3 linked regions of the Saccharomyces cerevisiae S288C genome follow. The main gene of each other region encodes a partner of the protein of the gene in region 2 in a complex. Each region holds a gene or a part of one and is shown on either strand. Other genes may lie near its edges. The genes, in order: CHC1, ENT1 and SLA2. A codon is read from its position in the direction of its gene.

Region 1 (11,836 bases), on a different chromosome or scaffold from region 2:
GACTATTATTGTTAGGTCTTAGAACAGCAATGTTCAAACAAGTAAGAGGTAAAACGACAACAAGTAGAAATAGAGGTGTCATTGCGGCAAAGTTATTAGTTGCATGGTATCTTGCCACCATAGTTATGTATATTGCTAAAAGCGAAATGTGGAAATATGCCTTTGCTGTTTCGCTACTTCTTAATAGTTTGGCACTATTTTTTTGAAAAAATGGAATCGATATTTCTGCATATTAATATCACCATCATTTCTCCTCCCTTATATGTTCCATTACCCTATTACATTATAAATCCTTGTATTTCTGCTTCCTCTACCTTCGATGAAAGCTTCTCATACCTTATGTCATCTTCTAACACCGTATATGATAATATATTGGTAGTGTGACTACTAGTTGATAAACTGTTGGAATAAAAATCAACTATCATCTACTAACTAGTATTTACGTTACTAGTATATTATGATATTCGGTGTTAGAAGATGACGCAAATGATGAGAAATAGTCATCTAAATTAGTGGAAGCTGAAACGCAAGGATTGATAATGTAATAGGATCAATGAATATTAACATATAAAACGATGATGATAATATTTATAGAATTGTGTAGAATTGCAGACTCCCTTTTATGGATTCCTAAATCCTGGAGGAGAACTTCTAGTATATCTACATACCTAATATTATTGTGTTGATAATTAGAGGTTAAAAATTAGTATTAATGAAGAAGTGAGTACTGATCTTCTTATACTAAATAAGAGAGGTATATAAAACACACGCCGATTGGTCATATTAATCATGACCAATATAATAGTGATTCCGGTAGTTACTATACATTGATGTGACGACTCATATTCCTCATATATGTACCTACCATATCATGTTCAGCTAATAGGTCTTTAACACAGCTTCAGTATTGTCTGAGCTTCTCGTTTAACATTCCTTCTGCAATAGGCGCAATCACACTTAAACGTATACGATGTGTACATTAATATACGATGTAAGCATTAGATTGTTACCATAGCAACTCATGTCACTATTAATTACTCTCGTTCCAACATATTGCCTTATTAAAAATGGAATCCCAACAATTACATCAGAATCCACACAATCATCATGATGTTTTAGAGCTTCATTCCAACAAGTGCCAACACAGCACATTTATTATTTGTTATGTATATAATTCTGAGATATTGAGTAAACACTCAATAATTACCTGCCATCTTAGTATAGTGGTTAGTACACATCGTTGTGGCCGATGAAACCCTGGTTCGATTCTAGGAGATGGCAATTTTTTTACTACTATACATTGGTAAATGTAGTCATGTCATTGATTCGTCATAGTTATGTGAATAGTATTAGATATGTAAATAGATAGAGAGTACCGTTATGCACATAAGATGGCCTCTCACTAGGATTTTGTAACTTTTTGTTAAAACTTGGCGACACTAGTTGAATTGAAACAAAAGTCGCAAAACAGAGGGTTCGAAGGAAAACAGGAAACCTCTACTCACTTGTTTATTTTCGATAAAATTTCCGCATTAGCTGCACCACCTAACTTTTGGTCAAATTCGAAACCTCTACCGAGCATGCTGCTCAACAGCGCATGATAAGAAGGCTTCCCTGCCCCATCTGCCTCCACTGGATTATTGCGGCAAACTTCATTGAAGTAATTGTGATAGATATCGCCATCAAAGTAACCTATAGGAGAATTTAACATCGCGTCAGGTAATTCAAAGGAGTCTGTCAGACCTATACAGTCTTTCCTCACAATTGGCAAAAGAGCCAATAGTTGTGGCTGCACAACTTTAGAGATCTGATCAGGAGTGAAGATCTTGAATTGTTGGAATTCTCCGGAATGCTTGTCAATAAAATACAAGGAAAATAACTTATAAACATTCCACATAGATTCCTTTGTAATTTCATCGGAAATATGTGAATCACGAGAGTTTAACTTGTCGTAATAGGTTTTCAACATGCAGCGCAAGGCATGAAATTTGGATACTAAGACTAAAAGCTTAGAAACGCTATCAATACTTCTTGATTTTTCAACTAAAGTACCAATATGTGCCAGTAATTTGATTAAGGTGATAGACCAAATTTCAGTATAATCACCCAACTCCTTTAAACCACTCTTTATTTCTCCAGAAACCACAGATCCTATGTACTGAGGTTTTAAGTAAGAGAATGAGTCCACATCCAGTGTGTTGTCAAATCTACCCTTTGTGGCTGAATCGATAAATTTTTTCAATATTGATTTTGCTGAAGTTAAAGATAAAACATTATTATCACCCTCCCATGTGCACTGAACCACCCAGTCGTCATAGCCTTTACCAAATCCGTTATACTGTGAATACCCATGTCCTCCGCAAGTCTGTCTCAACTCATCAATCAGTGTAGCAATTAACCAAGTATTGGTGGCTTTCAAGCTGGCGCTATCAATAAATAAATTCTTCAACTTTTTACTCACGGTAACCAGAGCAGCTTTGTATGCAGATGAGGAAGCGTTGTATAACTCGTCCAAAGTGGAATAATAGTTGTCCATTAACTTAAAAGCTACAGGTGACACCAAATATGGAACACACAATTGTGGTAAAACACGATATTGGTGAAGGGGATAGTCGATTAATTGTGTTTCAGACAATCCCTTTCTAGGTGCGAATTGCTGACGACCAACCGCGTAACGTACAGCAATAGTAGCAAATTTGGAGCCAAACCTAAATGAATCCATGACCATGTTAACTCTACCACTTAACAATGCACTATAACCAGAAATTTGATCCAATTGTGGCTCAGTTTTGACGGTGACTGAACCATCTGGAGAACGGACAACTTTGGTAAATCTACTTAGCATAAATTCTCTAGGGATAACTACGTTTCTGAACTGGATCCAGCCATTATCAATACCGTCACGACCCATCTTCGCTCCAATATCCCCTATGGAAACACCAGCTAACAGTTGGAAAGTCGAAGGGTCTCTCAGAGGAACAACGAATGTTTTTACACCGTAGTCTTTACCTTCAACGATCAATCTGGCGTACACGGCAGCGTGCGTGGCAGAATGGGCAGCCCCACCAATCCACCATTTGGTGGCAGTTAGATCAGGTGTATCAATTACAAAAGTATCATTTTGCTTATCGTACACAGCCCTAGTCTGCAGCTGGGCAACATTGGAACCATGTCCTAACTCAGTCATTGCAAAACAGCCATATATACCTTTCATCAAAGTGGCACCTCTCTCCTGCAACCAATACCGGATTTGCTCATCAGTACCATTGCCCTTGATACAATTACCAAATAGCCCCAAGTGTACACCCACGCGCGTACCCAATTGAGGATCAATATTTGCTACAAGTGACAATCTCTTATCGAATATAAAAAGGTCTTTGTTTGTTAAAGGCGAAGCTTTGTCTGGATCATTTGCTTGCAACTCTTTCATCAGGTCAGTGTCGCGAAAGTGTTTGCGCACTGTTTTGATATCGTGCTCCATATAACTAGCAAGCCTAGCTATTTTTTTGGCAGTAATTTCTCTCTCTTGCATTTTTTTAGCATCGTAATAGTCCGTATCAGTTTTCAATATAGGATCATTCACTATTTGGTCTATTAAGGCGTGCGTCAGAGTTCTCCTCTCCGGGGATGACTCTAAAAATGTGTTAACTTGGTCAACTTTGATTTTCGAATCCGCCCTTTCTTTCTGGATAAATTTTTGAGGATTCAGAACCACCGAATCGGGATTAATAGTAGTACGTCTCGTCATATCGCAATACTAATTTATTATATTTTCTTTTTTTCTGTGATACTTATTAGTGTCAAGTGTGTATTCAAAAACGGAGAGCAATATTAGTGATGATGAGCGGAATGAGGAAAACTTTAAGGCCTGTTCAAGTTGTTTAAATAATTTTTACAGGTTAGACCTTTATAAACACTCTTAAAGCCCCAATGTATTAGTGCTTTGACTTAACAACGCCAACGTTCTCTTGTGTACTTGCTTGTAGGTGATTTACCCCAACGGCTATTAGCCGCTAATGACCGAATTCCTTTCGCTTCGGAGTTTAATCAACTAATACCGTAAATATAGGGCTTAAAATGTGTCAGGGTTTGAACGCAAAAAAAGGAGGTTTATAATAAAATATTAGCACATTATAGGTTTTAAAGTTAAAAAATAATAGGGTTAATTTTATTACCCTACCCCCTTTTTTTGGTCGAGATCTCGCATTTTTCGTCGCTAGGAATAAATACAAAGAGAATTAAGAAAAGTAAAAAGTGGAACTGAAGGAATCTACAGAAATAAGGAGATATTTTGATTAGTTGTTCAGAGTAACTTATTGAAACCTCGACAATCCGGATCAGAGTTGAGAGAGAAAGAAGATATTCAACTATAAAAATAAATTATCACGAAAGTTCTAACCAATGAGTGACCTACCCATTGAATTTACCGAATTGGTCGATCTGATGTCCTTAGGAATTTCCCCTCAATTCCTTGACTTCAGATCAACTACTTTCGAGAGTGACCACTTCGTCACTGTTAGAGAAACAAAGGACGGTACAAACTCTGTTGCAATCGTGGATTTGGCCAAAGGCAATGAAGTGACAAGGAAGAATATGGGCGGTGATTCTGCTATCATGCATCCATCTCAGATGGTTATTTCCGTTAGAGCAAATGGTACTATCGTGCAGATATTTAATTTGGAAACTAAGAGCAAGTTAAAGTCTTTTACTTTAGATGAACCTGTTATTTTTTGGAGGTGGTTGAGTGAAACCACTTTGGGTTTTGTTACCGCAAGATCCATACTGACCTCGAACGTCTTTGATGGTAACGTAAATGCTAAGCCTCAATTGCTTACCTTGAGACACGCTAACTTGAACAATACCCAAATTATCAATTTTGTGGCTAACAAAAACCTTGACTGGTTCGCAGTTGTTGGTATCTTACAAGAAAATGGCCGTATTGCCGGTAGAATTCAATTATTCTCAAAACAACGTAACATCTCCCAAGCTATCGACGGTCATGTTGCTATCTTTACGAATATATTACTAGAGGGTAATGGCTCGACCCCGGTACAAGTTTTCGTTACTGGTAACAGAAATGCCACCACCGGTGCTGGAGAATTAAGAATTATCGAGATTGATCACGATGCTTCATTGCCTTCTCAATATCAAAAGGAAACTACCGATATTTTCTTTCCACCAGATGCAACGAATGATTTCCCAATCGCTGTTCAGGTGTCTGAGAAATACGGCATAATTTACCTATTAACCAAGTATGGCTTCATCCATTTGTACGAATTGGAAACCGGTACCAATTTATTCGTTAATAGAATTACAGCAGAATCTGTTTTTACTGCAGCTCCGTACAATCACGAGAACGGTATTGCATGCATCAATAAAAAAGGTCAAGTTTTAGCAGTAGAGATTTCTACTTCTCAAATCGTTCCATATATCTTGAATAAATTATCTAATGTGGCACTGGCCTTAATCGTTGCTACAAGAGGTGGCTTACCAGGTGCAGATGATTTATTTCAAAAACAGTTTGAATCTTTATTGTTACAAAACGATTATCAAAATGCAGCTAAAGTTGCAGCCTCTTCCACTTCTTTAAGGAACCAAAACACCATCAACAGGTTGAAAAACATTCAAGCACCACCAGGCGCCATTTCTCCTATCCTACTTTACTTTTCAACACTATTGGATAAAGGGAAATTGAATAAAGAGGAAACAATTGAATTGGCTAGACCAGTTCTACAACAAGACAGAAAACAATTGTTCGAAAAATGGTTAAAGGAAGATAAACTAGAATGTTCAGAAGAACTAGGTGACATCGTTAAGCCTTTCGATACTACTTTAGCGCTAGCTTGCTACTTAAGAGCAGGTGCCCATGCAAAAGTTATATCTTGTCTTGCCGAATTACAACAGTTTGAAAAAATTATTCCTTACTGCCAAAAGGTTGGATATCAACCTAACTTTTTAGTGCTGATTTCTTCTTTGATTAGATCATCACCAGACAGAGCTTCTGAATTTGCCGTATCTCTATTACAAAATCCGGAAACTGCTTCTCAGATCGACATAGAAAAAATCGCAGATCTATTCTTTTCCCAAAACCATATCCAACAAGGAACCTCTCTACTTCTAGACGCGTTAAAAGGAGATACCCCAGACCAAGGTCACTTGCAAACTCGTGTTCTTGAAGTCAATCTACTACACGCACCACAAGTTGCTGACGCCATATTGGGAAACAACATCTTTTCTCATTATGACAAACCAACTATTGCTTCCTTATCCGAAAAGGCGGGACTATACCAGAGAGCTTTAGAAAATTACACAGACATCAAAGATATCAAGAGATGCGTTGTCCACACCAATGCATTACCTATCGATTGGTTAGTCGGATACTTTGGTAAGTTGAACGTTGAACAATCTTTGGCGTGCTTAAAAGCTTTAATGGATAACAATATTCAGGCTAACATCCAGACCGTAGTACAGGTGGCAACTAAATTCTCTGATTTGATCGGTCCATCTACTTTGATTAAATTATTCGAAGATTATAATGCTACGGAAGGTTTATACTATTACTTAGCCTCTTTAGTCAACCTAACCGAAGATAAAGATGTGGTTTACAAATACATTGAAGCTGCTGCTAAAATGAAACAATACAGAGAAATTGAAAGAATTGTGAAGGATAACAATGTCTATGATCCAGAAAGAGTCAAGAATTTCTTGAAGGATGCCAATCTAGAAGACCAGTTGCCTCTAGTCATAGTTTGTGACCGTTTCGACTTTGTTCATGAAATGATTTTATATTTGTACAAATCACAGAACTTAAAATTTATTGAAACTTACGTGCAGCAGGTTAACCCTTCAAAGACTGCCCAAGTTGTTGGCGCATTACTTGATATGGACTGTGATGAGGCATTTATTCAAAGTCTGCTACAATCAGTCTTAGGTCAAGTCCCTATTAATGAATTAACTACTGAGGTTGAAAAGAGAAATAGACTAAAAATATTGCTACCTTTCCTAGAACAAAGCTTAAGTCAAGGTATCCAGGATCAAGCTGTTTACAATGCCTTAGCAAAAATTTATATTGATTCCAATAATTCTCCTGAAAAGTTTTTGAAGGAAAACGACCAATATGACACCTTAGACGTTGGTCATTACTGCGAAAAAAGAGATCCCTACCTTGCATATATTGCGTATGAAAAAGGTCAAAATGATGATGACTTGATTAGAATCACTAATGAAAATAGCATGTACAAGTACCAGGCAAGATATTTGTTGGAACGTTCTGATCTCGATTTATGGAACAAAGTTTTGAATCAAGAAAATATTCACAGAAGACAATTAATTGATTCGGTCATCTCCGTTGGTATCCCTGAATTAACTGATCCTGAACCTGTTTCCTTAACTGTTCAAGCATTCATGACCAATGGATTAAAACTGGAACTAATTGAGTTGCTAGAAAAAATCATATTGGAACCTTCTCCTTTCAACGAAAATGTGGCTTTACAAGGGTTGCTATTATTGTCTGCTATTAAGTATGAACCAACTAAGGTTTCAAGCTATATCGAAAAATTAGATAACTACGACGCCGATGAAATTGCTCCATTATGTATTGAACATGATTTGAAGGAGGAAGCTTTTGAAATCTATGACAAACATGAAATGTACGGTAAAGCTTTAAAGGTTTTAATCGAAGACATCATGTCTTTAGATAGAGCTGCTTCTTATGCTGATAAAATCAATACTCCCGAATTGTGGTCTCAAATTGGTACGGCTCAGTTAGATGGATTAAGAATCCCAGATGCTATTGAGTCTTATATTAAAGCAGAAGACCCATCAAATTACGAAAATGTAATTGATATAGCCGAACAAGCCGGTAAATACGAAGAATTAATTCCATTTTTACTAATGGCTAGAAAGACTTTGAAAGAACCAAAGATCGACGGTGCTTTAATCTTGGCCTATGCTGAACTAAACAAGATTCATGAAATTGAGAACTTGTTGGCAGGTTCCAATGTTGCAAACTTAGATCATGTTGGTGATAAATTATTCGAGAATAAAGAGTATAAAGCGGCCAGGCTATGTTATTCTGCTGTTTCTAATTACTCCAAGCTTGCTTCTACCTTGGTTTACCTGGGAGATTATCAGGCTGCTGTTGACACTGCTAGAAAGGCTTCAAACATTAAAGTTTGGAAACTGGTTAACGACGCTTGTATTGAAAAGAAAGAATTCAAGCTGGCTCAAATTTGTGGGTTGAACTTGATCGTTCACGCTGAAGAATTAGATGAACTGGTGGAAAGGTATGAATCAAACGGCTATTTCGAAGAACTGATTTCATTGTTTGAAGCTGGTTTGGGACTTGAAAGAGCTCATATGGGCATGTTCACTGAATTGGCCATTTTGTATTCCAAATATGAACCAGACAAGACCTTCGAACACTTGAAGCTATTCTGGTCCAGAATAAATATTCCAAAGGTTATTAGAGCTGTCGAACAAGCTCACCTCTGGTCGGAATTGGTCTTTTTATATGCTCACTATGATGAATGGGATAATGCTGCTTTAACACTAATCGAAAAATCAACCAAAGACTTGGATCACGCCTATTTCAAAGAAGTTGTTGTCAAAGTTTCTAACTTAGAAATCTATTACAAGGCCATTAATTTCTACGTCAAATTTCACCCATCATTACTAGTTGATCTTTTGACCTCATTGACACCAAGATTAGATATTCCAAGAACTGTCAAAATTTTCTCGAAATCCGACAACTTGCCTTTAATCAAGCCTTTCTTGATCAATGTCTTACCAAAAAATAACTCAGTTGTCAACCAAGCCTACCACGATCTGATGATTGAAGAAGAAGATTATAAAGCTTTGCAAGACGCTGTTGATTCTTATGACAAATTTGACCAATTGGGATTGGCATCTCGTTTGGAATCTCATAAGCTAATTTTTTTCAAGAAAATAGGAGCCCTGTTATACCGTAGAAATAAGAAGTGGGCAAAGAGTCTTTCAATCTTGAAGGAAGAAAAGCTATGGAAGGACGCTATTGAGACGGCAGCAATCTCTCAGGATCCAAAGGTAGTGGAGGCTCTACTCACATATTTCGTTGAAACCGGTAACAGAGAAGGCTTTGTTGCTTTGCTATATGCTGCTTACAACTTAGTGAGAATTGAATTTGTTTTAGAAATATCATGGATGAATTCTTTGGAGGACTACATTAAGCCATTTGAAATCTCCATAAAAAAAGAGCAGAATGATTCCATTAAGAAAATCACCGAAGAACTCGCTAAAAAGTCCGGATCTAATGAAGAGCACAAAGATGGCCAACCTTTGATGCTGATGAACAGCGCGATGAACGTTCAACCCACAGGATTTTAAGACGTGGATAAAATAATTCGTTTGCTGTACCCCATCGTGTATTTTTTTTTTTTTTACCGTTATTATTTTGTTTGTTAGCATCTTTGATTATCTGAGGGGATTTCAAAATGCCAATAAAAAAGACCTTATGAGTTCTGTATTTTTCTTAATATTTTCGAGAGAATTTCCCAACTATAAAATTGTAGATTACAGGAATAAATAAATTGCAGAAACTAAAATGATTGAAACTGCCTTTTCAATTTATATACTTTTATATCAAATTATGTTCAACTCTAGTAGAGTTTCTTTTATTACGCAAACGTCCTATGACCTTGACCGTTAGCATTGAGTGTACATTCAGTCCATTTACATTTCTTAGCATTGATAAATACTATGCCTAAATACCATCATTATTTTTCAGATACATAAGAGTAATTTTCTGTCAGATCAAGGTCTTGCTGGTGAAACCCAGTAAGTGTTATAAAGTCTAATCTCTAAAGTTTGCACCCCTATCAGCCCTAGCAGCCTTTTTCTCTAATTCATCCCAGTCTTCACCTTCCTCACTCTCGTCGCCAGTATAGTCCTCACTTTCATCACCACTAATATCGTCATCCACCTCTGATCCTTCTTCATCTTCAGAAAATGCGCTTTCATCACTTACGTCGTCTTCTGAAGCCTCATATTCACTAACTTCTTCTTCACTTTCATCAGATGCTTCATCATCTGAACCAGTAGCCAGAAAATTCCAACCACCATCTAAGAAAAACTGATATGGATCATCTTGTAATGACTTCATAATAGTTGCCCAATTCAAATTGATTGTTGAGACAGTGTAAGGAATATCCATATCTGTTAACCACTGCTTCAAGAAATCTAAAGATTCGATCGGAACTGTATTGATATGAGTGACGGGTTTATTGAAATCTTTATAAACAAAAACCATGTCGAAGTTTTTCAAACCAAATTGAACTCTTTCTAAAATACAGATTTCGACTTCCTCTAGGTTAATCACCAAAAATGGTGGTTCAATCAATTGAACTAAACAATCTGTAGTTGGCATACAGAAAACTGCCGATCTATTTGGGACACCTTGGAAGCCCAAATCTCTAAATGTATTCTCCACCGTCAATAAACCGTTTGATGCTTCTGCGATTGCGTCTGCAAAATACTTAAATTCTTTATCAAGCGCAGCTCGTTTTCTTCTTTCTTCTTGTTCTTGTTCCAGCTCATCCTCATCACCATATCTTCTGAATCTGGATTGACCTCGTCTTCCACCTCCAGTTTCATCGACGGACATATCAGAAGCTTCACGATAGAATTGGACGTCTTGTATTTTCTTTTTACCCATTAAAATTGGATTCTTCAAATGAATATGAATGACGACAATTAATTCACCTTTACAAGATTGAAAAATTAGATTCTTAATGTTTGAGAATAATATGTCTATTCTGCTATCAGTCCTTAGTGGGGATTGAAATCTGATACCATTTTCATGGATAAAGACAGTACTAGGTACACGTTTTGTATCTGGATTTGGCCTCACAAAAATTTGATCCAGTCTTTTCGTTCTTCCAGTTTTATTTTCAATCAATTTGTCCTGTTGAACAACATCAGCAAGCGCCTTACGTTCTTGCTCTCTCTTTGTGGCTTCTTTTTTCAAATCTGCAATTTGTTTAAAGGTTTCACTCATGCGGTCACCATCTTTGGATCTTAGTGTAATCGAACGTACAAATTGATTGTCTGCTGATTCCTCATACGGCAATTCCTCCACTTTTTTAGAAATACCACCAGAAGATCCCGGTGAATTAAAGTTCAAACGTAAATACGTATATTCGCCTTCTTCGTTTTTAGAACCATTCTTATATGAATTTATATGAAATGGGACTGGCCTACCGTAAATGGGTAGAATAATTGTTTGGCTTTTCCAGTCGACATGAATTCTTAGATCACGAATATTGGTTGGTAGTTGTGAATCCCGAACATAAGATTCATATTTTTTGAAGTATTGACGAGGTTCACTATCTGGGCCATTGGCATCAGCAGCACTAAATCTGAGTAATCCATTCTTTTCCAATTTTTCGTGTAGCTTCTTTTGGTTTTCTTTACGAATTTGCTCCTTTTGAGCGTCTTCGGCACCACCACGGGCTTCGCCACGTAACTTTGTTCTTAAAATTTTGGAATTTCTGTCTGGTTTACTAGGGACTTTGGTGGCAGGTGAAGATTTCTTTTTATTATTGTCTTCTTCTTCATTATTGAAATAAAATGATATCTGGGATTTGGCTTTGGTGTAATTTGTTAAGAAGCGTGGAGGCTCTGTTTCATCGAGAGGAATTTGAACCGTATCAGCTAATTGTAAAGCGTAGTTGTTAGCACTTTGAGAATCTTTCAGATTATTGAAACCAAACGAAATATTAAAGCAGTCACCGCGTTGGATTTTACGGTAATCATTCTTAACATTTAATATAAAGTTAGAATCTCTAAATTCGAGACCAAT
Region 2 (8,032 bases):
ATGAGTGATTAACGGACTCATCAAGGAATTTTTGAAGTTCATCAAGGTTATTTGTTGTTATCTGAGTCGCGTATTGGAATTCTCCCGGGACAACTTTTGTAACCTTCGTCAAGTATTCTCTTCTTTCCTTTAGTGACTTATTAATCAGCCTTTCATCGTTGTAGCAAAGTATATCAAATGCAAAGAGACAGACTTTAACTTTAACATCATTCAGCTCCACGTCTTTACGTTTCCTTGTACTTAAGACCTGGAAAGGCAAAATTTTCCCCTGATCTTTGTCCCAAGCAACAGCCTCACAGTCTAGAATTAAATTTTTGGTAGTATCCAAATCCTGGATAAAATCCGTTATGTTAATTTCTGGATATCTCTCAGTCATATTCTCGCCATTTCTGGAATAAATCCTCATTGTACCATCATTTAGTAAATGCACCTGAGCCCTTTCACCATCGTATTTGTATTCTGACGTAAAAGTTTCGCCTTGAAATCTATCCAATACTTCATTAATTGCCTTGGTAGGCTTGGCTAACATGGGTTTCAATGGAATTCCTGGTCTTAGAGTACAATATTTATCTAAATTCATAATACCGTGTTCCAGGCATGAGTTTATAACAATTTCATAGTTGGGTACTTGACAAAATGCGTCTCTTATCTTTTGTTGAGCACTTTCTAACACATCCATGGGGACATCTTTGTCTGGAGAGTCCTCCCTATTTTCATCATGGAGCAAAAGAGCCTTCGATAGGGATATTAAGACAGTCTTTTCAGCAAGACCGATTCTCAATTTTGACTCTAGGGATCTAATCAAAAACTTAGCCTCTATACCTTTGCAAGCAGTAAGCATTCTCTTGATCAGCTTCATCTTTTTTAATTGTGAATCTTTGCCCTGAGTCTTAGCAATAGCTCTAAGATTTTTGAAGACCTCACCCACGGTCAAGGGTTTGGGCTTAAACATAGTGGGTTGGACATTTCTCGCACCCATTGCTATTTCACCCAAATCCCCAATATCCTTGTATTTAAGTTTAATTTGGCTCATGGATTTCCCGCAAGTTTCGCTTATGGTTTTCATAAGAAGATTTTCTCCAAGGCCTAATTCCAAGCCTGCTTCGTAGTCAGGGCCCAATCTATTGATGAAAAGGTATGTTGTAGGTATTAAGTTCTTAGACGATTGCTTCATTATCTTAATAAAGAAATCAGAACAGATTCTTATAATCTCTAAACGGGAAGATATGGCCTCAATCTTGTTAAAAACCTCACAAACTTCAGAATAGGGGATATTAGACGAATAGTGATCATTATTATTTGAGCTCAAGGCGTCTTCAACTTCACCTACCAACCTCTGAGATTGTTGCGGTGAATCAGCAACACCGGAAGAGGGAGCGGATGATGGTATAGAAGAAAAATTGCTACCCATGGAGCTTGGAGCTGCTACAGTATGTGTAACAGCCGTCTGTTTCAATTTCTTGGTCGCGTATTCCTCTTCCCCACTAACATTATCCATTCTATCTTCCAGCATATGTTTGGATGATTTTTTGGGAGAAGGAGTACCTTCTGTTGGCTTATTTTTCATGGAAGTGAAGAATCTAGCCAAAGTGGCTTGTTTAGGCTTCTTACCGGCAGAGGAAGGTAATGAGGATGACATCAATAATGGCAATCTTGATTTCAAGGGACGTGCAGATGAAAGAAGGCAACCGGTCAGTAATCTGCGCATGTAATTGATGAACAATGACGTTAAAAGCTGCTCTAAACCTCCAAAATCATTACTTTTATTTTTGAACAAAGTACAGCGAGATGCAAACGCATGGCTTATTGCAGCTAAATTTCACTTTCACGCGTTTTCGCGTTAAGGTGAAAAATTCCATCAGCCATCTCAAGTGGAGGAACACATCGAAGCGAGCAAAAAGATGACAGAGTTAAACAGCAATAGAACCAGCGGCTGCAGTACGAATTCCTATTGCAAGTCTTACGGAAGGTTGGTGGGGCCTTATGTTGTTCAAAGTACTTGATTTTGGAAGTATGGTTGTCTGAAATTGTGGCTACGTATAGAGAATCATCCGGGTAATGATGAAAGTTTCTTTCAATGACAAATAGGAGTTTTAAGAAGTAGAAGAAAGAGCCGTTCGTATGAGTGCCAGGATCAGAAGGAAAGGGAGCAAGAGGCAGAACAATCATGTCGAAACAATTTGTTAGATCTGCGAAGAATTTGGTGAAAGGGTACTCTTCTACCCAGGTCCTGGTAAGAAATGCAACGTCAAACGACAATCATCAAGTGTCCAAGGACTCGTTAATTGAGCTGGCTGAAAAATCATATGATAGCGCAGATTTCTTCGAAATCATGGATATGCTGGACAAAAGACTTAACGACAAGGGCAAATACTGGAGGCATATCGCAAAGGCATTGACAGTAATAGATTACTTGATCAGGTTTGGTAGTGAGAATTGTGTTCTTTGGTGTAGAGAAAATTTATACATCATCAAGACATTGAAGGAGTTCAGGCACGAGGACGATGAGGGCATAGATCAAGGTCAAATCGTTAGGGTCAAAGCAAAAGAATTGACTGCATTACTATCTGATGACGAAAGACTGAACGAGGAAAGGAACATGAATATCAAGGGAAGAAACAGGAAAGGAAGAAGAAGAAGGGGAACTGGGCGCAGTGATGAAAATGACGATGATTTGCAAAGAGCCATTAGTGCTAGCAGGTTGACGGCGGAAGAAGACGAAAGAAGAAGAAAACAGGACGAGGATTATGAAACAGCTTTGCAGTTGAGCAAAGAAGAAGAGGAGCTAAAAAGATTGCAAGATTTACAAAGAATGCAACAACAGCAAGGCCAACAACAATTGCAACAACCTATGTATTATGATATTTTTGGTAACCCAATCACTCCTGAGGAATACGCACAATTTCAATTGCAACAACAGCAACAACAGCAACAACAACAGTTGCAACAACAACCAATGTACTACGATGTATTCGGGAATCCTATAACACCCGAAGAACTAGCACAGTTTCAACAACAACAACAACTACAGGAACAACAGTACTTAGCTTCTATGCAACAGCAGCAACAGGCAATGTCCAACAATCCATTTGCCAAATCAGAACAGAGCTCAAGTTCACCAAAACGGAACCAACTAGTAGCAGCTTCTTCTCCACAGCAACTGCAACAACAAAAACAACAAGAGCCATTGATTCAAAACAGGACAGGCAATCAATCAATGACAGACAAGTATAGTAAACTAAACGAGCTACTAGCCACAGGAACAGGTATTGATACATTCGGAAATGTAGGGGAGGCTCGTATTCCTGCCCAACATACGAAGACAGGAACATTCATCAATTCTCAAGGAACAGGATATAGGCAAGTATCGGATGATCCAAACCACAATCCGTTTTTGAACAGTCAGTATACAGGTTTACCAAGCACTAGCGTCGTACCAACACAAACAGGCTATGGCTTTGGTAACCAGTCTCAACAGCAGTCTCAAAATAATGGCTCAAATAACCGGGGATATACTCTAATTGATTTATGAAGTGATTCTGTCATTCCAGTCCGCATTTCTAATCAGATGAGCATTTTCTCGCATCGCATAATATATATGGACTAAGTAATTTAATCATTTCACAGCGCGTTTTGATGCAAGCGTTTAGTATAAAATGAACTGTATATTTGTATATGTGAGCGCACGATCGCTCCAAAAACTACTTTAGTAAACTAACGTAGTTCAGGACGACTGAAAGAAAATATAGTGCTTTAAATTTATCAGACAACCAGGAATGTCTTATGTCTTTACATGGATGTAATGTAAGTTGAATACTTTTACATATCCATCAGAAGAAGCCCTACGATACGCTCTAAATCTTGATGCGATAACTCTAAGGGACTTTTATCGCCACGTTCTCCGTTAATGTCCTTGTGAGATTGCAAGGACCGCAGCACCGCCTCATCAATGAATATATCCAAATATTTCTGTATCATTGGTACTACTTCATCGGCAATTTTCATATCATTACCACCTTCATTTTGGCTGAGGATTTTTATTAACGCTTCTTTAGATAACATCACCACAATTACTGTGCTCTGTACTCATGTCCTTTCTAAGTGCAATAATGTAAATTCTAACACGCTTTTATGTATGATTGATTTTTGATATTTTGGCCCGAAAGATAATTCTGGTCTCCCGGAAACATGAAGATGCAGCAAAGTAAAAAATAATAGGTAAAAATAATAAAAATACATGTATCTTTTTGGTTGGTTAATTTATCTAAACAGTTTTATATATATATGTATATATATATATATATATACACAGTATTAATATTCTTTCCTTGAGATTACTCTCTATAAAAAAAAAAAAAAAAAAGCTTTTAAAAAAAAAAAAACTCAAAAAAAGAAAGAATATTCAAAGAAAGTTTCATCTTGTCAGTTGAAATGAATAGTTTATTGTGGAAATTATAACAATAAAAGTTAGCTAAAAGCGAAAGTGTCGATGAAACTGGGCAAGTGCACTTGAGCTCTTGATATGGACGGTAGTATTGGTTACAACAATGACTGGTAAAAGAATGAAGTGGTTTGAGATAATTTTAGAGAAACAAAAAGAAATAACAAAGTGATAGTAATAAAAACGGTGCGCAAATGAGGATAAAAAAATCAGCACAGAAACTAGAGAAAACGGATAAAAAAATAAAAAAGCAGAGACAAAAATTAAATTACGACTGATTCTTGTTCAAAATCAATAGTAAAAGTATGGTTACAAAGTAATGTAATTCACAATGGAGATTTGAAAAAAGATAAAAATAATCGACGATTAGATCACAAAAAAAGCGTATCTCACCACAGTAGTTATTTTTTCTTAGATATTCTTTAATACTGGGGTTGTGACTGACCAGGTGGCATCGCCATGAAATGTTCCTGCTGTGGAGGATACCCCTGCTGCGATGGCATTTGCGGTGGAGGATACGCCTGTTGTTGCTGATGCGAAGGAGGAACCATGAATTGTGGATGATGTTGCTGCGGAGGAATAGCAAATTGTTGCTGAGATGGTAATTGTTGCTGAGGTATCGCTTGTTGATGATAGCTCTGTTGCTCTATCGGGAATGGGACAGGTACCGTTTCGTCATTTTCAGCCACATACAATGACTTATCGATAGTGGCCGGAATAGCCGCAATTTCAGTGCCCAGTTCTTGTTCGATTTTATAAAGGTTAAACCGATCATTCCAGTTAATCAAATTGATTGCTAAACCCAAGTGGCCAAACCTACCGGATCTACCAATACGATGTAAATATGTTTCTGCCGTTTTGGGGAAATCGAAATTGATAACGACATTAACGGCTTGAATATCGATACCACGGGTCAATAAATCGGAGCAGACCAATGTACGAACCTTACCTTGACGAAATTCGTGGAAAACTTTATTTCTTTCTTGTTGCTTCATTCTTGCATGAGAGTAATAACAGGAATAGCCTAAATCAGTGATTTTCTTGGCTAGTAATTCGACACGGTTAGTAGAATTACAAAAAATAATGGCTTGATTAATTTGAAGCTTAGAGAATAAAGTATTTAAACAATGTAGCTTTTGTCTTTCTTCAACAAAGGCGTAGTATTGAGTAATACCCTTTAGAGTCAATTCTTCCATCAAATTAATTTCATAAGGCTTATGCAGATGTTTAACCATGAATTCCTTAACCGTTAGTGGGAAAGTAGCGCTAAATAATAAAGATTGGTGAGTTGGAGGTAAGAAGGATAAGATTTGTTCAATTATTGTCTTGAAGTCACGAGATAACATTTTATCGGCTTCGTCCATGATGAATAATGAACAATCAGACAGATCTGCTACTTTTCTCGAAGCTAAATCCAACACTCTACCAGGAGTACCAACCAAAATATGGACTGTTTCATTTAATCTTAGAATATCGTCTCTCAAATTGGTACCACCAGTGGTCACCATACATGAAATACCACAGTGTTTTCCCAATGTACGGACGACTTGGGAAGTTTGCAGAGCTAACTCTCTTGTGGGAACCATGATCAAAGCCTGAATTTTATTCAACTTTGGTTTGACTTTCTCTAACGTAGGAATAACAAATGCGGCTGTCTTACCTGTACCATTCTTTGCTCTGGCCAATATGTCTCTACCAGTTATTGCTACCGGAATAGCCTCTTCTTGAATAGGGGATGGTTTTTCAAAACCGGCTTCAAAAATACCCATTAACAGCTCTCTTTTCAAATAAAAATCTTCAAAAGTATTACCCTTTGTATTTAAGACATCATCTGTCTGTGGTCTGGTATCCTTCTTGGGAATATTCAATGCAGTTTTCCAGTCCCGATCGAGATCCGTATTACTGTTATTATTAGTGTTGAAGTTATTATTGATGGAACCCATTACTACTATTTTCTTTCTTGTCGTATTTTAGGCCTGGGATAAGTTATTATGCGAATGGCGATGCGGTTATGAAGAAATAAAAGGGCTAAAAGTAAGAATTTTCTGCGTCTATCTTTCTATTAGGAATAAAATATGACTATATTTACTATTATTGTTGTTTTGTCGTACAATCCTTTATGAATGAAAATATTAAGCTTGTGGTCTTAAAAGAATGTGGATGAAACAAAACTGAATCCAATGATGAGAAATAAATGTACAATCAGATAATAAACACTTTTATTGATGATTGTCTTTTCTTGCAAACCCCAATGTTACAATCGCCCATTAGTTCTAAGATTGTGTTGTCCTTTTTCTTACGAAATTTTTTTCCCTCCCTTTTTTGATCACTGTCCTCGTTATAAGTGATTCGTGGGGTAACGGCGATATCATACTATTATTGGCCCATCTGATGGATTAGAAGACCTACAGGTTAATGTGAAGCGACACTAATGATAAGAAAACTGCATCGGATCATATCTGTTTTTGCAGCGTGGTATATTGGTTGTTGGTCATGTTTCAACGAAAGACTTTACAGAGAAGGAACTTGAAAGGGCTCAATCTTAACCTGCACCCAGATGTGGGCAATAATGGCCAATTGCAGGAAAAGACAGAGACTCACCAGGGACAATCTCGAATAGAAGGCCACGTGATGTCTAACATTAATGCAATACAGAATAATAGCAACCTGTTTTTGCGAAGAGGCATAAAAAAAAAACTGACGTTGGATGCGTTTGGTGATGACCAAGCTATATCGAAACCAAACACTGTGGTAATACAGCAACCGCAAAATGAACCTGTTTTAGTTCTGTCTTCTCTATCACAATCCCCGTGTGTATCATCATCATCATCTTTGTCCACGCCATGCATTATAGATGCGTACAGTAATAATTTCGGATTATCGCCATCATCCACGAATTCTACTCCCTCTACGATTCAGGGATTGTCCAATATTGCAACACCAGTTGAAAACGAACATTCGATATCACTACCACCTTTGGAGGAAAGCCTATCGCCAGCCGCAGCAGATCTGAAAGATACGTTGTCGGGAACTTCAAATGGTAATTATATACAACTCCAGGACTTGGTTCAGTTGGGGAAAATTGGTGCTGGAAATTCTGGAACTGTGGTGAAGGCACTACATGTTCCTGATTCCAAAATAGTTGCCAAAAAAACCATTCCTGTGGAACAGAATAACAGTACAATCATCAACCAATTAGTTAGGGAATTATCTATCGTCAAAAACGTTAAGCCCCATGAAAACATTATCACCTTCTATGGAGCTTATTATAACCAGCATATAAATAATGAAATCATAATTTTAATGGAATACTCTGATTGTGGTTCTTTAGATAAAATACTGTCCGTTTATAAAAGGTTTGTTCAAAGAGGGACTGTTTCGAGTAAGAAAACCTGGTTCAACGAATTAACAATATCAAAAATAGCGTATGGCGTACTAAATGGCTTGGATCATTTGTACCGACAATATAAGATCATTCATCGTGATATCAAGCCTTCCAATGTTCTGATTAATAGTAAGGGGCAGATTAAGTTATGTGATTTTGGAGTTTCCAAAAAACTAATAAATTCTATCGCTGATACATTTGTTGGA
Region 3 (9,610 bases), on a different chromosome or scaffold from region 2:
TTGAGTTCCCAGGGAAATCCTGAAGTCGGTTGTTTTTTACTAAGCTTTTGTGAAACAGGTTCATCTTTTGAACTGGCATTATCCGGGCCGATGTTTTTCTTTAGTATTTCTAACCACCTTGCATAGTAATGTATGCGAATGTTGTTAAAAATGACTTTTAACTTTCCATTCGCCCTTCTATGAACATATAGTACAGGTTCGTTAACTGCTTTATTCAAAACTACTGACATGATTTCTTGTGGCTCTAATAATGACGGTGTCTTTCTTTCTACCTTTAAGTTCTTTGTAAAATATACAATTTGAGAGTCATCCGTAATCGCAAAGAAATTATTTGATAGTAATGCTTCCACAGAACCAAATTGCGGCCCTATAATTTCTGATACTTTTAACTTCATGGAATCTATCTTGAGAGAAAAATTAGCGGATAAACTCTGCTTGTAAACGAACCTGGAAGAATTAAGTACTCTGACACTTCTCTGCAAAAAGGAGCCTCTCTTGCTTTTAGACTTTCCTGTACATTCACTGTTCTTTGAATCCGTGAAAAGTTTTCCAAACGCAGAAATATCTTCGACTAATTGTACTATTCCAGAATATTCTTCGTTAAATATCACTTCTTTGATGATTGCATGGACAGAACTATAAATTAGCGCTTCTTTCAAAGTATCGTCATATGAACCCAGTTGTAGAGGGGATTGCAAGTTCGAGATCGTAATGCTCGACATTGTCAATATTTTCGTGCACCGAGAAGGTAGTTTTTTAAATACGTCTACAAGCTCAATGTACAACTCACGGTTAGAGTCGTAAATGAAGGGTGAAACCTGGAAACATAATAAAAAATATGGAAACTTAAGCGACAACTTCACTGCTTTTGAGGTAAGTTGTACGGTCCTTTTAGTATCCGATGCTATTTGAGGCATCATCCCTTTTGACTTATTCTGATAAAAGGACATACATTTTGAAACAAACTGAAAGATTTTAAAGAAATGCGCAATGCCATCATGACTGATAATAATATCTAGTTCGTCGCCCATATTTAATGCGATGCTTTGAGGGGTTTGTTCTCCAGTGAGCAATGGCTTAGTTTTATGGCTAATTGTCAATGGACTCGAATTAGAATAAAATGAGCCTAAAGAAAATGCCAATGAATTATTTTCCTTTTGCTCTAATTTAAAGCTCTTCAAAATTACTGTGATATCTTGGCCTAAGTTTAAGTATATACATTTGATATCAACAGAAGAAAGAGCTGATGGTTCCTGCTTGTCAGGTGAAGGACTTTGGGAATCCTGGCAAGAAAAGCTTTCATTGGCATCCAAATGTGTAACAATGATATCTATAATATTCTTCAAAGTGGAGTTTTTGATTTCGACAATTTTGTGTATCGCTAAATGAACATCCTGAATATCAATAACAATATTAGACATTCTGAGATCATTGACCGATGATAAACCCTTAAAAGCTATGTTCAAATTATTTATTTCCATTAAAGATTCCTTGCACTTATCATTCTCTTGTTCTTCTTGTGTAACTTGGGGTTCACTGGGGTCTTCATTTGATTGCTCTTCCATGGCGCTCATATAAAGTGAAGTAGCCTCCATTTTTGATAAATAAACGCTTTGTGACAGATCGTCATTATTGAAAGGATGCACAGGAGAGTCGGGTACAGCTTGTTTTTGTATTGAGGAAATGGTGATATTTTCAATGTTTATATGTCGTAAATTTGCGTCTGTAGTAATAAGTTGTATGCTTTCTAGATGAACCTCCACAATGTTATCGGAAGGATCTCTATCATTCACTATGAAACGTATGGTAACGTCCTTTAATGCTATTTTCAATTTCGCTAAGGCTACATTAAGGGCCTTGTTCCGCATATTTTGAAGAGTATAAGAACCATTTGCGGCTGGTTTTGAAGCTTCTATATTAGAGTTGAGATCACTACTACTGTCTGAAGAGCTAATGTCATCTTCTTTGTACCTATTATATGTGGTCAATGGATCACTAAATTGTAACATCGAATTCGTAAGATCTTGGATGCTTTTAACCAAAAAATCTGAGTGAAGTTCCTGTGAGCCACTGGAATATAAAGGTGTCATGATAAATCTTAAACCAGACCCATCGATTTCCACACCGCCAGAAACTGTTAATTTTAACACAAGCTCGTCAACTATGCCTTCGTTTATTTGCACGTTTGGAATGTTGAGATCATCAAGTGACAGATTCACATCATGGAACGAGAAATGTGACTTAGACCCTATAGAAACGTCCAAGTTAGATAAATCTATATTGGAGAACAGCGAAATTTGCTGAAGGACGTAAAGAAGCAGCCGCTTTTGTATATTTTGAGGTAACCAAAATGCCATTGTATCGAAATCAAAAAAAAAAAGGGTTCCTCTTAATTTGCTTTAATCTTTATGCTTTCCTTATTTTAAACGGCAGTAGAAATTTTGTATGAATGGTGAGTTGAAATAAAGTCGCAAAGATTACAATAGAAGCAAAATGGTAGACTCCTACAGAGATGTGATATGATAATAAGGGTGGGGTGTCTGTTCTTTGTTCCTTGCATATTCATTATCGCGATTATTTCCATTCGCCGCACCAAAAAAAGAAAAAATGTCCCCGGACGAGAACGCATATACCAATCAGATACAGAAAAACGTAAAAGACGTCTTCAAATAAATATATTTATATTAACGTTTATCTTTATATATAAAAAGTACAATTCATGATCAATCATCATCCTGGTTATAGTAGGCATGCCTTCTTATCTCGCCCAATCTCTTCCTGGCATTGCTCAAGGATTGTTCTAACTTCAAAATTTCCACTTGCTGTTCCATTTCGGCAGTCTTCAATGTGTGTTCGGATGTGAAGTCCAATGGTTGCTGCTGTTGCGAAGTCGAATGATCATCTTCAATCATACCCATGACGTGGTTACCCAAACTTCTGCATGCATCGGTAACATCTTTGGAACAGTGTTCCAATTTATCTTGGGCCTTCGAGTGGATGGAAGTTTTCACTCTCGATGCTGCTACCAATTGTATTGTGGATGCGGCCACTTCTTTGGAGGCGACGATAAATTGTTCAGGTGATGTGTTTTCATTGTCTTCAGAAGTGATTAACTTACTAGCAGTAGTGATTAAAACATTGGTTGCACCTGCCACAGCCTTTGCCGCGGAGATCAAACCTTCTGTCCATCTGCTGTTTTTCAAGTAGAATTGGTTCAGAGGAATACTTGTCGTGGTGGCAATTTCATTTTGGCACTGAATAGCAGCCTTTACCAAAGCCACAACAGCATCAATAATCATTAATGCCAATGACAACAATGGTTTAGGAACGTCAACACGTAAGTGTTCTGAGGATTTGACAATTTTGTCAGCAGTGGCAACCAATTCAGAATGTGGGTTCGTTTCTTTATTTGATTTGACAGATTGTATGTTCAATAACGGTTCGATAGCCAAAGATAGCTCTTGCAACTTCTCTTGCATGTCCACGTTGGCATTGATGACGATATCAGTTTTCTCCTCATCACCGACCTGGTTAAGATTTTCAGACATCAAATCCTCGAAGAAATATTGGGCCTCTCTGGCACATCTCTTCACCAGGGTCAAAATTTGATCAGACTGTTCTTGAGGTAATGTAGTAACGGCGTACGCCTTTGAATTGGTCACCAGTGTAGCCATCGAAGTACTGAAATCACTAACGCAGTGTATGACCTCTGTTTGGTCGCCGTGTGCAAGGCCGTCTACTATCAAATTATTGAAACTGGTGGCAAACTCAGTGGCGTTTTCAGAAGTACTTTCCAATAAGGACAAAAGGAAAGTGGGTGGAGTCAGCGGACCCGACCAACTCAAAGGAGAATCGAGATTATAGACCGATTCCTGGATGGTGTTGATACCGCTTTCCAATATGGCATCCAGAATAGGGTTCATTTTATCCTGAGTCATTGTTTCTGCTGCTGCTGTCGCCGCTGCACTGTCCGCCTCTGCATTATTAATGGATCTTTCTAATTCTAACCTTGCCCTGTCACGGTCCTTAACCAACTCGGCCATTTGCAAATCCTTTTGCTTCAATTTGTGTTCTAACTGTTCCTTTTTCTGAATGGATTCCTGCGCACTATTCACCTTTAACTGCAGTTTTTTAAAACGAGGTAAAAGATTTAGATGCTCTTGACGCAACTGGGAGTATAGCTTGGCTAAAGACTCATATTTTCTTTCCCAAACATCCAATTGATCCTGCAATGCAGTTAGTTGCTCGTCCTTATTAGCCAATTGTTTGGAAGCTGTAGAATCCATCGTTGTGATTTCACTTTCCAGCTGCTGCACTCTTTGGTCATATTGCTGCAATAAAGCCTGGTCCTTTTCATATTGATTGGTGAGGGCAATTAAATCGTTTTGATGTTGGTTTTGTTGTTGAAGCTGCATATTCATCATATCCTGTTGTGCTTTTTGTAACTGCTGTTGAAACAGTTCCTGCTGTGCCTGCTGTTGTTGCAACTGTTGCACACGCTCTTGCTCGAGACGGTTTTGCTCGTTCGCAAACTGGGCTTGTTGATTGGCCCAGAAGTCCGGCTGCATTTGTGCCGTCGCCTGTGGAAAAATGGCGTTAGCTGCACCAGTGGCAGTGGGGATCATCATCCCAGTGGTGGCACCCGTCGGCATAGTTTGCAAGTAACCCGTAGGCGTCGAAGTAGTCCTTTGAGATACCGGACGTGGGGAAATAGCCGGCTCAGCAACAACAGGTGGTGTTGGTGTTGGAGTCCGTGCCGGCGTCCGCGCTGGAGTTACAGAGGGCTCTCTTTTTTTGAACTTAATCTCTTTTGACTCGTCCACATCGTTGATTAAAAATACGTCTGGAGCGTCCACGGGTAGTTTTGGAATGGTTACTAACGTGGTCAAGTACTTCACAGAAGAGCAGTCCGCGTAAAACTCAAACAGCCTTGCATGTTGCAACTCGTACCGTTCTTTCAAGGGCTGCAGAGCAGCGTCACCCTCCGCATCATTCAATTGCCTGTGCATAGCTCTCAGCATCGAGGTGATGAATTTATAAATACCATATGACTCCGCAATCAACGGGATCAGCGCCGAAATTTTGCACTCAGTATTTCTCCTCTCGGACTGAATCGACGCAAAGATGATCTGCGAGAACTCGTCAAGAGAATCCTGTAACGACATCAAATCTAAGATCGTCTCGTACCCTTCGTCCGGGTCGGAAACTGAAACCAGTGACACATACTCCTCGTACTCAAACGTCCCGTTGTTAAACCCTCTATGGTGCGCATGAAAGTCCAGCTTCAAAACCAGGTACCGCACATACTCCCGAATCAGTTTGCTGTACGACGAACCGCCAGAATGTACCCTACCCAGAGATCTGATCCAGTCCCTATCCCGGATGGCCTCAGCTAGCGCTGACGGATGTCCCTCTTGTATGATCTTATGCAGTACAATAAGCATCTTGAACAGTTGCACTTCGTCATTGGCCAGAGGCAGCGTCTTAAGGGTTGTAAAAACAGCTTTGGAAGACTGATGGTCCCATGTGTACACTATGCATGCGCGTACGTGCTTTCTCTTAGGTGCGGTCTCCTCAACGGAACACGCCTTTTTAAGCGCTTTCTGCAGATCTGAATCTATTCTGGACATCCTGTTCTAGCTGCTAGTACTATCACTACTACTGCTATGGCTGTATTACTAATATTTCTATTGTTTCACTATTCTTTATATATATTTATATATGTATATTTTCCAGCAAAACACCCTTTTTGGCATTCTCCTATAGGACGTCAAACGGCGCGCGACCGCGTCATTTTATACGAGCAGCCGCTGCGTCGTCGTACAAAACGCACCGACCTACATTACAATAAAAAGTACCCGTAAAAGGATCATGTGTACATGGTTCCAGTCTTTTGGTTCGGTACTATAACTACTGTAAACGACCCTCTCACTGCAGTTTATGATATGTGATCGCGTTAAAAATGGGTATTATCACCAATAACGGGTCGGGTAACAGATTTTTTCGATGCGCCGGCAAAAAATTTTAGTTTTTTTTTTTTTCATCACAGGGATAAAAGCAAACTGCAAAAGGACAAAACAAGAGAAGAGCTACTTGTTGTTTTCGTTTCGTGCTGGGGGTTTTCTCCTTTCTATTCTTTTTCAAAAAAGACAAGGAATATATTAATATAGCTGAAGCAAATCGTATGTCCATTGAGAATCTGAAATCATTTGATCCTTTCGCCGACACAGGAGACGACGAAACCGCCACTTCAAACTATATTCATATTCGTATCCAACAGAGAAATGGTAGAAAAACTTTAACTACGGTGCAAGGTGTCCCAGAGGAATATGATTTAAAGAGAATTCTTAAGGTCCTAAAGAAGGACTTTGCATGTAATGGTAACATTGTCAAGGATCCAGAAATGGGGGAGATTATTCAGTTGCAGGGTGACCAAAGAGCAAAGGTTTGCGAATTTATGATCTCCCAACTGGGATTGCAAAAGAAGAACATTAAAATTCATGGGTTTTAAGTTCAAGGCTTACGCCGAGTCGCTTACTCGCTGCTCGCTTTCTTTCTTAGTGTTGTTATCCTATATAAAACGTAACTGTTTAGTTATTTAAGTCCAAGTGCATATTTACACTATAATATATAATATAACATCTCATCTTTTTTTATTTCTTTTTCTTCTTCTCCCGCCGCGGGCTTACATACAGAGATATAAGAACAAGTGGTACGTAGCATGCAGCTTCTCAAAAGAGATGAGCGTTCAGTTTTGAGTACAGGGAAGAAAGGCCAAATCGAGAGTACATTATCATGGGGTCGGGCGATTTGAATCTGTTGAAATCATGGAATCCCAAGCTTATGAAAAATAGAAAAAAAGTATGGGAGACCGAACAGGATCTAATTACCGAACAGCAGAAGCTTAACACGCGATTGAAAGAAATTGAAAAAGAACGAGAACTAAATGAACTGCTGAACGAATCGAGCAAGGATAAGCCGGAGACTCTCAAGAATGACTTGGCTTTGAAGAAGTCGGGCTTGGAATGGATGTATCAGGATGCAAAACTGAGTGACGAAAAGGAAGACTATTTATTAGGTAAGAAAAAACTAGATTCATCTATACTAAACCAACCTGCAACACCGCCTGTAAGGGCGGCCACTACTATTTCCGCTTCTGGTGCCGCAACATCCATAAGTTCGCAGAAGAAGAAGTCAAAATTGCTTAAAGATGATCCAATGAGTAAGTTTAAGGTAACTAAACAACAAAGAAGAACTCCAGACTCAACAAAAAAAAGAGCAATGTCGCAACGAGGGAAACCGTTGTCCAAGCCCGCTCCGGACCTAGACTACTAAACTTTCCTTTTCTTAGAGCTTGGTTCCTCGTCGGATAGTGGCAAGTCCACCTCACCGAGACTGCCATCGTCATCCTCGCTGTCGCCATCTGCGCTTAACCCGGATTCTCCTTCTTCGTCTTCCAAGTCCCTCTGGGCCTCAGCATAGTACTTCACACAAAAAGGGTAGATCTCTTCACTGAACAATGACGCCAATGAGTCGCCGTGCGGGAACTCCTTCCCGGGTTTTAGGCCGGTCCATCTGAACCAGCCAAATATGGTTTTCATTCCCTGTCTGTACTTTTTTTTACCCTCTGGACTGCGTTTGTCTTTGATCAAGTCCGGGTTTATCGAGTCGTAACTCTGGGGCCACTCAATTGGAACGGGCTCACTAGTCAGTATCCCGTCTTCTTGGTCATCTTTGCCTTTTTTGATTTGGAACACCTTGGTGACTTGCTGCTCTTTGAAGTCTCCCTCAATTCCATGGAAATGGAATGTTATACTAAAATCTCTAGTGTCGTACATTTCAGACTCCAATGCCAGCCATTCTACTTTGATCTTATCTATAGTGTCAATGTATTTAAAATCTGAAGCCCTTATGTAATTCGCAAAACTAACGTGTTGTGAAAGCACAATTTTCCAGAACTCTGCAATTTCGTCAATATACGCGTCCCTCTTTTCATAAACAGGCTTCATTTTGTTCAATCTGTATAATTCTACCTCACGTTCAATAGCGTCCACTTCTTCTTCGCATTTAGCCAATCCTAAGAATGCTTTTGCACTGACCATCTACCGCACTTGCTAAGTGCATATTGTTAGTATAATGGGTTGCTTTATTTTTCCATTTCATGCCCTGCAGAGCTCAATCCTACATACTGCTCGTTCTCGTTTTCTTGGTCACTCATCATTGGCAGTGTTATGCTTCGAAATGTTTGTCGTCAACATCAAGCGCCTAATCATTAGGATGCTTTTCTTCCCTTTTCTCACAAGCGCAGTGTTTGATTTTTTCAATTTTTTCCGCCTGGAATTTTTTCACATTCCAAAATGAAAAGTACATATATAATACAATTAATTATATTAGTTTTTTCTTTCCTCCTTTCCTTTTTCACTATTTTAACGTAAAAAAAGATGGTATATACATATATACGTACTTTTGAATAGTTGCACACATAACGAAGCCACGAGTATTCTATTTGTCTTCACCAAAGTACTCTTCATGTAGCTTCTTTTGTTGTTCCCATTGCTTCTTCAACTTCTTGGTCATACTCTTGGTGATATCATTACCGTCTTTGTCCTTTGTTGGAAGGCCTTGCTCGTCCCAAGCACTGTACAATGTGACATCCTTGAACATATCTTGTGGTTTAATTTGAGCTTTCTGCTTCCTCTCGTTTTCCTTCTGCTCTCTTAATTTCTGCTGTTCCAATTTCTTTTGTTTCTTTGCTAGTTCGTTGGCATGTTTCTCCTCGTTTAGCTTGACAATTTCCAATTTTTCATCGTTAGTCAAAAATTTGATCAAGGCAGATTGTCCATTCCTATCATCCAAGGCAACATTCAAGTTTAGCAAATCTTCGTTTCTAATTTTATCCGTTAATTGCAAGAATTCCTTGGGTTCGGCTTTCTTGATAGCTAAGGAACGTACATCATCTCTAAATGTGGATAAACACTTAACATATGGCATAACAGTGTCTTCCAATGAGCCTAGGGATCCATCGTTGGAGCCAGCTTGGGCTGCCCAACCCAAATTGTCAGGACGGGATGGAAATCCAATTATTCTTAAGATTTTGGTGATGTAGCTACAGATAGCAATCAAGGGCTCAATTTTTAAAGCAGCACCTGCAGTGGTAATGTATGTGTTTGACTTGGTCACTAATTCGCTCAGTGTCTTCAAAGCAACAGGTGTGGATAAATTATCACAGAACGCCGAATGGACTTTCGATTCACTTTCAACAAAATCAGCCAATAATTCTTTCTCTAAGGGACTAAACTTTTTAGAGATATGACCTGCAGAAGCTGCATCGTTCTTCAATGCTCTAATAGTCTTAAAAAAATTGTTCATGGAGTTTTCAAATGACTTTACTTCATGGATCAAAGATTCCTTGAAATCCAATTGATTGTTCCATTGTACTGAGGCAAAAGCCAATCTTAATTGGCGCGGTGAGAATTTTTTCAAAGCTTCTTGAATGGTAATGAAATTCTTTAAGGATTTAGACATTTTTTGACCCTCAATATGTAAATGGCCCGTATGTAAGAAATAGTTGATCCACTGTTGATTGTCGAAGCGAGCCTCGGATTGAGCC

The links.
Region 1: the proteins of ENT1 (region 2) and CHC1 are in contact, whole or in part, in a crystal structure (PDB 9EYT), measured with the Saccharomyces cerevisiae proteins. Residues at the interface, in NP_010120.1 of Saccharomyces cerevisiae: Gly448 (codon at 3,509), Tyr449 (codon at 3,512), Thr450 (codon at 3,515), Leu451 (codon at 3,518), Ile452 (codon at 3,521), Asp453 (codon at 3,524), Leu454 (codon at 3,527); in NP_011309.1 of Saccharomyces cerevisiae: Asp25 (codon at 4,474), Phe26 (codon at 4,477), Arg27 (codon at 4,480), Gln155 (codon at 4,864), Ile157 (codon at 4,870), Ile173 (codon at 4,918), Leu174 (codon at 4,921), Gln175 (codon at 4,924), Ile180 (codon at 4,939), Phe266 (codon at 5,197), Ile268 (codon at 5,203), Lys284 (codon at 5,251), Phe310 (codon at 5,329), Lys326 (codon at 5,377).
Region 3: the proteins of ENT1 (region 2) and SLA2 are in contact, whole or in part, in a cryo-EM structure (PDB 7B2L), measured with the Saccharomyces cerevisiae proteins. Residues at the interface, in NP_010120.1 of Saccharomyces cerevisiae: Leu63 (codon at 2,354), Asn64 (codon at 2,357), Lys66 (codon at 2,363), Gly67 (codon at 2,366), Tyr100 (codon at 2,465), Ile101 (codon at 2,468), Lys103 (codon at 2,474), Thr104 (codon at 2,477), Leu105 (codon at 2,480), Glu107 (codon at 2,486), Arg109 (codon at 2,492), Ile116 (codon at 2,513), Gln120 (codon at 2,525), Arg123 (codon at 2,534); in NP_014156.2 of Saccharomyces cerevisiae: Lys24 (codon at 5,561), Arg25 (codon at 5,558), Lys26 (codon at 5,555), Arg29 (codon at 5,546), Ile32 (codon at 5,537), Val33 (codon at 5,534), Trp36 (codon at 5,525), Asp37 (codon at 5,522), Glu73 (codon at 5,414), Tyr247 (codon at 4,892), Thr250 (codon at 4,883), Leu251 (codon at 4,880), Val252 (codon at 4,877), Thr253 (codon at 4,874).

Annotation. Positions count from the first base shown.
Region 1 is NC_001139.9:100,070-111,905, reverse strand, and holds CHC1 (clathrin heavy chain), read left to right. Parts: upstream 1-4,401; coding exon 4,402-9,363; downstream 9,364-11,836. Other genes in the region: YGL204C (uncharacterized protein), read left to right, coding at 1-206; POX1 (acyl-CoA oxidase), read right to left, coding at 1,502-3,748; chromatin-remodeling protein SPT16, read right to left, coding at 9,830-11,836. UniProt on the Saccharomyces cerevisiae protein: Clathrin is the major protein of the polyhedral coat of coated pits and vesicles. In yeast, it is involved in the retention of proteins in an intracellular membrane compartment, presumably the trans-Golgi.
Region 2 is NC_001136.10:165,547-173,578, forward strand, and holds ENT1 (epsin), read left to right. Parts: upstream 1-2,167; coding exon 2,168-3,532; downstream 3,533-8,032. Other genes in the region: DNA ligase (ATP) CDC9, read right to left, coding at 1-1,708; MHF2 (Mhf2p), read right to left, coding at 3,820-4,062; DExD/H-box ATP-dependent RNA helicase DHH1, read right to left, coding at 4,864-6,384; YDL159W-A (uncharacterized protein), read left to right, coding at 6,636-6,767; mitogen-activated protein kinase kinase STE7, read left to right, coding at 6,935-8,032. UniProt on the Saccharomyces cerevisiae protein: Binds to membranes enriched in phosphatidylinositol 3,5-bisphosphate (PtdIns(3,5)P2) and phosphatidylinositol 4,5-bisphosphate (PtdIns(4,5)P2). Required for endocytosis and localization of actin. Negatively regulated via phosphorylation.
Region 3 is NC_001146.8:184,071-193,680, reverse strand, and holds SLA2 (Sla2p), read right to left. Parts: upstream 5,631-9,610; coding exon 2,724-5,630; downstream 1-2,723. Other genes in the region: ATG2 (Atg2p), read right to left, coding at 1-2,357; SUI1 (translation initiation factor eIF1), read left to right, coding at 6,185-6,511; U2-type spliceosomal complex subunit CWC25, read left to right, coding at 6,796-7,335; VPS75 (Vps75p), read right to left, coding at 7,332-8,094, 8,190-8,221; CRS1 (cysteine--tRNA ligase), read right to left, coding at 8,503-9,610. UniProt on the Saccharomyces cerevisiae protein: Required for cellular morphogenesis and polarization of the cortical cytoskeleton. It might act in concert with proteins such as CDC42 and CDC43 to limit the region of cortical patch formation to the cortex of the bud.